2 linked regions of the Macaca fascicularis genome follow. The protein of the gene in region 1 binds, or shares a complex with, the protein of each later gene. Links are inferred from orthologs where the notes say so. Each region holds a gene or a part of one and is shown in the gene's direction. Other genes may lie near its edges.

The links.
Region 2: the proteins of PDHA1 (region 1) and PDHB are in contact, whole or in part, in a crystal structure (PDB 3EXE), measured with the Homo sapiens proteins. The link is inferred for Macaca fascicularis from reciprocal best matches to the Homo sapiens genes PDHA1 and PDHB. Residues at the interface, in NP_000275.1 of Homo sapiens: Ile87, Arg88, Gly89, Phe90, Glu137, Leu138, Thr139, Gly140, Gly148, Lys149, Gly150, Gly151, Met153, His154, Asn164, Gly165, Ile166, Val167, Gly197, Ala198, Asn200, Gln201, Gln203, Gly228, Met229, Gly230, Thr231, Arg235, Ala236, Asp296; in NP_000916.2 of Homo sapiens: Glu59, Gln62, Tyr63, Ala66, Asp84, Pro86, Ile87, Ser88, Glu89, Met111, Phe115, Gln118, Ala152, Gly153, Val154, Ala155, Ala156, Gln157, His158, Pro297, Val323, Arg324, Val325, Thr326, Gly327, Ala328, Asp329, Val330, Met332, Pro333.

What each region holds. Positions count from the first base shown.
Region 1 is NC_088395.1:19,221,730-19,225,454, forward strand, and holds part of PDHA1 (pyruvate dehydrogenase E1 component subunit alpha, somatic form, mitochondrial), read left to right. Parts: intron 1-488; coding exon 489-581; intron 582-1,661; coding exon 1,662-1,817; intron 1,818-1,990; coding exon 1,991-2,062; intron 2,063-3,725. UniProt on the Homo sapiens protein: The pyruvate dehydrogenase complex catalyzes the overall conversion of pyruvate to acetyl-CoA and CO(2), and thereby links the glycolytic pathway to the tricarboxylic cycle.
Region 2 is NC_088376.1:121,524,043-121,528,545, reverse strand, and holds the start of PDHB (pyruvate dehydrogenase E1 component subunit beta, mitochondrial), read left to right. Parts: upstream 1-1,406; 5' UTR 1,407-1,439; coding exon 1,440-1,481; intron 1,482-1,564; coding exon 1,565-1,618; intron 1,619-3,232; coding exon 3,233-3,340; intron 3,341-3,423; coding exon 3,424-3,486; intron 3,487-3,588; coding exon 3,589-3,624; intron 3,625-4,255; coding exon 4,256-4,503. UniProt on the Homo sapiens protein: The pyruvate dehydrogenase complex catalyzes the overall conversion of pyruvate to acetyl-CoA and CO(2), and thereby links the glycolytic pathway to the tricarboxylic cycle.

The sequences.
Region 1 (3,725 bases):
GAGCAGTGGTGTGATCTCAGCTCACTGCACCTCCACCCCCGGGTTCAAGCAATTCTCCTGCCTCAGCCTCCTAAGTAGCTGGGACTACAGTTAAGCGCCACCGTGCCCAGCCATTTTTTGTATTTTTAGTAGAGGCAGGGTTTCACCATCTTGTCCAGGATGGTCTCGATCTCTTGACCTCATGATCTGCCCAAAGTGCTGGGATTACAGGCGTGAGCCACCATGCCCGGCCACGTTTTATTTTTTAACTCTTGAATGCAGAAATGTTATTGCTTACTGGTTAAAATAGAACATAGTATTTATATATTACTTTACTGCTTCATTGAAAATATCGGGGGTGGGATAAACAGAGAGATGGGGTTGGAAGGAGAGTTTGTAGCAGCAGTGTAATTTCTGTGCCAGATTCTGACCAGGAGTTAAAATGCAGGGCATTGATATCTCCCCTCATGGATTTCTATGGTTCCTTTCTCGGTTGTCCTTAATGTTAGGTGCCCCTGGGCGCTGGGATTGCTCTAGCCTGTAAGTATAATGGAAAAGATGAGGTCTGCCTGACTTTATATGGCGATGGTGCTGCTAACCAGGTAATTATGTCTCTTAACTTTCCAATAACGGTCTTATTTTCAAAGTGTTTAATATTCACAGTTGAATTTCCAAAGCAGCAGCTTATTGCTTATTAGGTGAAATAGTAATTCCTATGGCTAGCTCAAATTTGGTTGACTTATGGCCAGATTAGAGAGTGACCTTTTAGCATTGTTTCACAAAAGACTTAGGGGGGCGCATTCCTGTGAAGGAGCTCACCTTTGCTCTATATCAGTGCTTGATAAAGGACCTCCCCTAACCTATTGCAAAATGATACAGACCCATTCTCTTGGATGTCCGCGCTGGCAGTGTCAAATTCGGGTAATAGCGTCTCAGTCCTAATTCAGTTTTTGTGCTTCTTTTTGTGCTTCTTTTGGTACCGAGTAATACCCAGTCTGTGGCCGGTACTCTGTGAAGCCCTGTTCTAGAGGCTGATTCTTAGGTGCTGGTTCACTCTGACTATCCAGTGGGCCCGATAGATTTCATACTGATCTTTTTTCCAGTGTGTTCCTTACTGCTAGCATGGCCCCAAAGAAACAAGTAGTAGTTGGTTTGTCATCTTTCTTAGTTGCAAGAGTATGATGCCTGCTGCTTCTTATCTGTCACCCACCCCGCTTTCCCTCACCATCCAAAGCTCGGTTTTTTGGTTGTTTTTTTTGTTTTGTTTTTGAGAGAGAGTCTTGCTCTGTTGCCCAGGCTGGAGCGCAGTGGCACGATCTCCACTCACTGCAAGCTCTGCCTCCCGGGTTCACGCCATTCTCCTGCCTCAGCCTCCCAAGTAGCTGGGACTACAGGCGCCTGCCACCATGCCCGGCTACTTTGTATTTTTAGTAGAGACGGGGTTTCACCGTGTTAGCCAGGACGGTCTTGATCTGCTGACCTCGTGATCCACCCTCCTCGGCCTCCCAAAGTGCTGGGATTACATGGCTGAGCCACCGTGCCCAGCCCAAAGCTCGGTTTTAGAAGAGGAGGCTTTCTGTGCTTTATGAAAGCTTTCTGTGCCAGGCAGAGCAGCAGCTGTTACAGATGATGGATCCTAGAGAAAGAAGCCAAATGAAACCCCTTTTCATAACTACTTCCAGGGCCAGATATTTGAAGCTTACAACATGGCAGCTTTGTGGAAATTACCTTGTATTTTCATCTGTGAGAATAATCGCTATGGAATGGGAACATCTGTTGAGAGAGCAGCAGCCAGCACTGATTACTACAAGAGAGGCGATTTCATTCCTGGGCTGAGAGTAAGGACACCTGTGGTGGGGCCGGGGCCAAGGCCAGGGGTATGTCCTTGTGCAGACCCTTGACAATCTTAGAAACATTGAAGAGTTTCGTTCTCAAACATAAGCAGGTGATGTGAAAGTAAAATGGTTTGGGGCAGCTGGATTCATGCTTCGCCCCTCCCGTTTATTAACAGGTGGATGGAATGGATATCTTGTGCGTCCGAGAGGCGACAAGGTTTGCTGCCGCCTATTGTAGATCTGGGAAGGTAAGACTCTAAAGGCCTCTGGGCTAATGACATTTATCTCTGGAAGTTCAAAGACTGCCTCCCGTGTGCCTGCTGAAGCTGTTAGTGGGTAGCTGATAATTGAGGTGCACAAGATGGAAGCAGAGTGAAGCAAGCAGGGCTCCTTTGGGTAGCTTGGTCTTGGTAGCTCACCTGCTGGGAAGCCCACATTTCTCTCATTTGGGGGAAGTCTGTCCTGGTGCTTCCTCTGCTTTCGCCTGTCTTCATCATGACAACTACACTGCCTTTTTGTTAGGTTAATTCTGTCCCTCCTCCCCACCCCCCATTAATCATGAGTCCCTTGAAGGAACAGATTGGGGATCCCCGTAGTGTCCAGCATAGAATGTCATGTATACAATAGGCATTTAATGTGTGTGTCTTACACAAACAGTATGGTTGAAGCTTGTAATCTTAGTCTTGCTCAGTCCTAAGGATCTTTCCCTTCAGTGTATGGCAGTGAGGGAGATGGTAACAGGGAGACTGGCCTAAAGAGGTTTCAGTTCCTTCAGCACTAGTATAGGCTTAGGAGGTTTGGGTGTTCTCCCTAAATTAGTGTTCCACAGCCCAGACACAAGGTTTCTGAAGTTGTCACTTCAGTGCCATACCATGTATGTTTGGGCAGTGATGCAAATGTCAGAAAGTGGGGAGACAGGGAAGTAAGGGTGGGATGTAGTAACATTAAATAAGAGCTAATGAGTAGAATGAACTAGAGCAGGACCAAGATGACAGCTTGGATACAATGGGCTGAGCAGTCTGTCAGGACCCTAAGGCTGGGAGTGCCAGGCCCTGAGTGATGGATATTGACCCCACCTCTCCCAATTCCTGAAAAGAATACATGCGGGCCAGCCCTGGCTGGAGACATGGTGATTTGTAGAATGTATGACTTCCCAAACACATAACCTTCACAATTCTGAGTTAGGTGTTACTGTTTTGCCCATTTTGCAGACAAGGAAACTGAGCCACAGAGCAGTTAAAGGTACATAGCTACTCTTATCATGGAGCCAGCTCCCCACTCGCCCGTTTTAACTACTGCACCAAACCAATCAAGGATCCTCAATGTTTCCCCATCCCTCAGTGTTCAGAGCCATCTCCTGGAAGTGGGCTAGTGTAGAATGAGCAAGCCACTTGGTGATAGACCCCAAGTGGTCATACTCCCAGCAGAGCCTCAGGGTTTGGGTAGCAGAGGTTGTTGGTGCCTGTCAACTTTGTTACACACTAGCAGGATCTGTGAAGTAGAAGTGGCTGCCAGCCCCACAACACACTACGAGAAAGGAGCATGAGATGGAAATCTGCCTAGCCAATAGCAGGAGGCTCTAGAACATGCTCAAAGCCTTTTTTTTTTTTTTTTTTTTTTTTTGAGACAGAGTCTCGCTCTGTCCCCCAGGCTGGAGTGCAGTGGTGCAATCTCGGCTCACTGCAAGCTCCGCCTCCCGGGTTCATGCCATTCTCCTGCCTCAGCCTCTCGAGTAGCTGGGACTACAGGCGCCCGCCACCGCGCCCGGCTAATTTTTTTTTGTATTTTAAGTAGAGACGGGGTTTCACCGTGTTAGTCAGGATGGTCTTGATCTCCTGACCTTGTGATCCGCCCGCTGCTGGGATTACAGGCGTGAGCCACCGCACCCAGCTGCCTTTTTTTTTTCACAGG
Region 2 (4,503 bases), on another chromosome or scaffold:
TGAAGCAGGAGAATAACTTGAACCTGGGAGGCAGAGGTTGCAGTGAGCTGAGATGGCGCGACTGCACTTCAGCCTGGGTGACAGTGAGAGACTCCATCTCAAAAAACAAAAATAGACTCTTACTTCCCCAGCTCCTCGCAATTACACTGCCCCAGGCTCCTCCCTTGTCCCATCTATCCATCCAACAACGACAAAAATCCAAAATTTTCCTCAGCTCTTCCCTAGCACTTACAGCATTCCTATTGATTCTAGCCCAAATAGAACTCAAAACTGTCCCCCTCCTCTCCATCTGGAAGTTGCCTCCTAGTCTGACTCTGTCGCCACCACAGACTTCCCAGCATCCGCCTGCTATGCCTTTGCCTCCACCCCTTCCCATTCCCAGTCAGCAACCTACTGATCAATTAGGGATGGCCCTAGATGCACTACTGCACTGGGTCCCAGAGACCTTAGATTATAAACCCAGACTCCTCATCACAGCCCACAAAACCCTAATTTGGAAGTTGCAAATTCCTAATTTGGCAGCCTGCAGCTGTGATCCACAGAAGGGAATGTTTGGAATGTCTCGGGGATGGGTGGAGACTGGGTCTCCAATTGTCCCATCTGACCCCCAAGGGCCAAACTAAGACTAATGAGCTTCCAGAGGTTGTCCCTATGGTCAAGTGTTAGGCATCTCCCCATAGGGCCTTCTCTAAAGTTGTTGTAACCTTCCCCCAAACAGGACCCCAACCTCTGCTTCAGGAAGCAGTGGGAAAAGACCATGCTTTAGAGTTAGTCCTAAATATCGGCTCATTTAATCAATTTCTGCTCCAGTTTACCCATCTTCAAAATGGAGATAATAATAACACTAATTACCCAAGTGGGGTACTGTGAGAATGAGCTATAAGGCACAGATCTCAATGCTTGGCTCACAGTAGGTGGTTAATGCAATCAATGAAAGCTGTGGTCTGCATTATAAGGAATTAACAGACAGCACTGTCCAGGGAAGACTAGGCTCACTCATAAAGTGTGAAGTTCCCCATCACTACAGCGTGTGCAAGCACTTCTTGGTGCCCAAAGGATTCCAGTACCCAAAACAGGTTGGCCTAACTCTTAAGGTCTCTCCAGCTTCCAGAGATCATGCTCCTCAGTGTCTGACTTTTAGTCCCCACGCTTCAAGTAACACCGACCAGGCACGTGTGCCCAGCGTGCACCCCGCAAGTCGGTCACCGCCTACTGTCAATAAAGTTGATTTGAGGCGGCTCCAGGCAGAGGGGCAGTGCCACCCATACAACCACCTCCGCCCGGCCCCGCGGCCCCTCACCCGGTGGGCGTGGGGGGGGGGGCCGAGTCACGCAGGCGCCGCGCCTTGCCATTGGCCCGCGCCGGGGGAGGCGGGGCTTTCTTACGTCTGCCAGCCCCTCTGTGTTGTCATTTGGCAGCGGATAGAGGACACGATCAAGATGGCGGCGGTATCTGGCTTGGTGCGGAGACCCCTTCGAGAGGTAGGCAGCAGCGCGCGGCCTGTATTCCCACGCCACCCGTGTCCACCCTGCGTCCCGCCATCATCTTCCTCTTTCCCTGCCAGGTCTCCGGGCTGCTGAAGAGGCGCTTTCACTGGACCGCCCCGGCTGCGCTGCAGGTAACAGGCGCGGGCGCTTGTCGGACGAGGGCGGGGAGGGGCCCTCTTCTCTCGGGAAGGGGGCCGGAGTCGCGCCTGCGCCGTGGCCGGCCGGCGCCGTGGGCCTGGTTTGCGGAGCCAGCATCCTCCCTGGAGCTCCTGCTGCCTCTGTCGCCGCCTGGCGCTTATCACCCCGGCGAGTCACTACCTCACAGCTGGCTGGGCAATGGGGGAAAACTAAGATTAGGCGTTTCTTCCCTCACTTCATGTTTTTTTTCCTTTAAATTGCAGCAAAATAGACCTAACTTAAAATGTACTTTTTAGAAGTGTATAATTCAGTGGCATTAAGTACATTCACCATGTTGTACAACCATTAACCACCATCCATTTCCAGAACTTTTTAATCATCCTAAACAGAAACTGTCCGTTACTCGGTAACTCCTCATTTCCCTTAACCAAAGCCGTGGTAACCCCTGTTGTACTTTTCTGTCTCTATGAGGTTACCTATTCTAGAATTTTATATAAGTGGCATAATTTGTCCTTTTGTGTCTGGCTTATCTGAGCGTAATGTCCTCAGGGTTCATCCATGTTGTAGCATGCGTCAGAGTTTGATTCCTTCCTAAGGCTGAATAATATATATATGTATGTATTTTTGAGATAGTCTCGCTCTGTCACTCAGGCTGGAGTGCAGTGGCGCGATCTGAGCTCACTGCAACCTCCACCTCCGGGGCTCAAGGGATTCTCGCGCCTCACACTCCTGAGTAGCTGTGATTACAGGCGGGCGCCACCACACCTGGCTGATTTTTGTATTTTTAGTAGAGACAGGGTCTCACCATATTGCCCAGGCTGGTCTTGAACTCCTGGCCTCAAGTGATGTGCCTGCCTTGGCCTCCCAAAGTTCTAGGATTACAAGCATGAGCCACCTCGCCTAGCCCCACATTTTCTTGTTTTTGTTTGTTTGAGACGGAGTTTTGCTCTTGTTATCCAGGCTGGAGTGCAATGGCACTATCTCGGCTCGCTGCAACCTCCGCCTCCTGGGTTCAAGCAGTTCTGCCTTAGCCTCCTGAGTAGCTGGGATTACAGGCGCCCGCCACCACACCCGGCTAATTTTTTTATTTTTAGTGGAGGCCAGGTTTCACCACGTTGATCCAAACCTGCCTTGGCTTCCCAAAGTGCTGGGATTACAGGTGTGAGCCACCGTGCCTGGCCTTGTTTTGTCTATTGTGAATAATGCTGCTGTGAACATTGATGTGCAAGTATATGCTTGAATCCCTGCTTTCAGTTATTTGGGGCATATACATAGAAGTGGAATTGATGGATTGTATGTTAATTCTCCTCTCCTTCCTTTTTTTTAAAACTATATTTTACCATTCATTATATTAAAATAGCAACTCCTACATTCTGGATGCAAAGTGTTTGGCACCTAGTGAGTGCTCAGTACACTAACACATACAGTCAAAGACCAACTATGTGTGATAGAAATGTTACTTTTAGAATCCTTTGAGTTTTTAAAGAGAAACTTGTTCTAGTGTTTTTATATTGTATGCTCTGGGCAGCCTAGGTAAATATAAAGGAAGAAAATCTTAGTTGAATCTCAAACAATTCTTATTGACTGTTTTTGCATACCTGTGACAGGTGACAGTTCGTGATGCTATAAATCAGGGTATGGATGAGGAGCTGGAAAGAGATGAGAAGGTATTTCTGCTTGGAGAAGAAGTTGCCCAGTACGATGGGGCATACAAGGTAACTAAAATATGTGAAAGTTATACAAAATTGAGGTCACTGTTACCCCCAGATACACTTAAGGGATCAAATCTTAATTGTAGGTTAGTCGAGGGCTGTGGAAGAAATATGGAGACAAGAGGATTATTGACACTCCCATATCAGAGGTAAGCCTTCCAGGGGGAAGCAGACCCTAGAGGGCATGTCTGTTAGTGTCCACTGTCTTCATTTTTATGGATTTTCACTTATGTTTATATTTTACTTTATAGATGGGCTTTGCTGGAATTGCTGTAGGTGCAGCTATGGTATGTAATACTCTTTATGGGAAGCTTATCCAAAGACATTTCTTGTTTTCTTTTGAGACGGAGTCTCACTCTGTCGCCCAGCCTGGAGTGCACTGGCATGATCTCAGCTTCCAGGTTCAAGCGATTCTCCTGCCTCGGCCTCCATAGTGACTGGGATTACAGGTCGTGCCACCACGCCCGGCTAATTTTTGTGTTTTTAGTAGAGATGGGGTTCTACCATGTTGGCCAGGCTGGTCTCGAACTCCTGGCCTCAAGTGATCTGCCCACCTTGGCCTCCCAAAGTGCTGGGATTACAGGCGTGAGCCACTGTGCCCATCCCCAAAGATATTTAACATCACCTTTTAAAAACATTTGGGAAAAAAACAAAACAATTCCAAGTAGGTAGATGTGGTGGTGCTTGCCTGTAGTCCCAGCTACTCTGCATGCTGAGGCAGGAGGATTACTTGAGCCTAGGAGTTACAGGCTGCAGTGAGCTATGATGTGCGCCACTGCACTCCAGCCTGGGTGACAGTGAAACCCTGTTTATAAAAAATAAAAACATTATTTGAATGTTGGAAGACTTGGAGTGATTGTTTGCTAGTCTTTATTGCTGTTTCTAGTCTTTTTAACATCCACATTTTTGATTTTACAGGCTGGGTTGCGGCCCATTTGTGAATTTATGACCTTCAATTTCTCCATGCAAGCCATTGACCAGGTTATAAACTCAGCTGCCAAGACCTACTACATGTCTGGTGGCCTTCAGCCTGTGCCTATAGTCTTCAGGGGGCCCAATGGTGCCTCAGCAGGTGTAGCTGCCCAGCACTCACAGTGCTTTGCTGCCTGGTATGGGCACTGCCCAGGCTTAAAGGTGGTCAGTCCCTGGAATTCAGAGGATGCTAA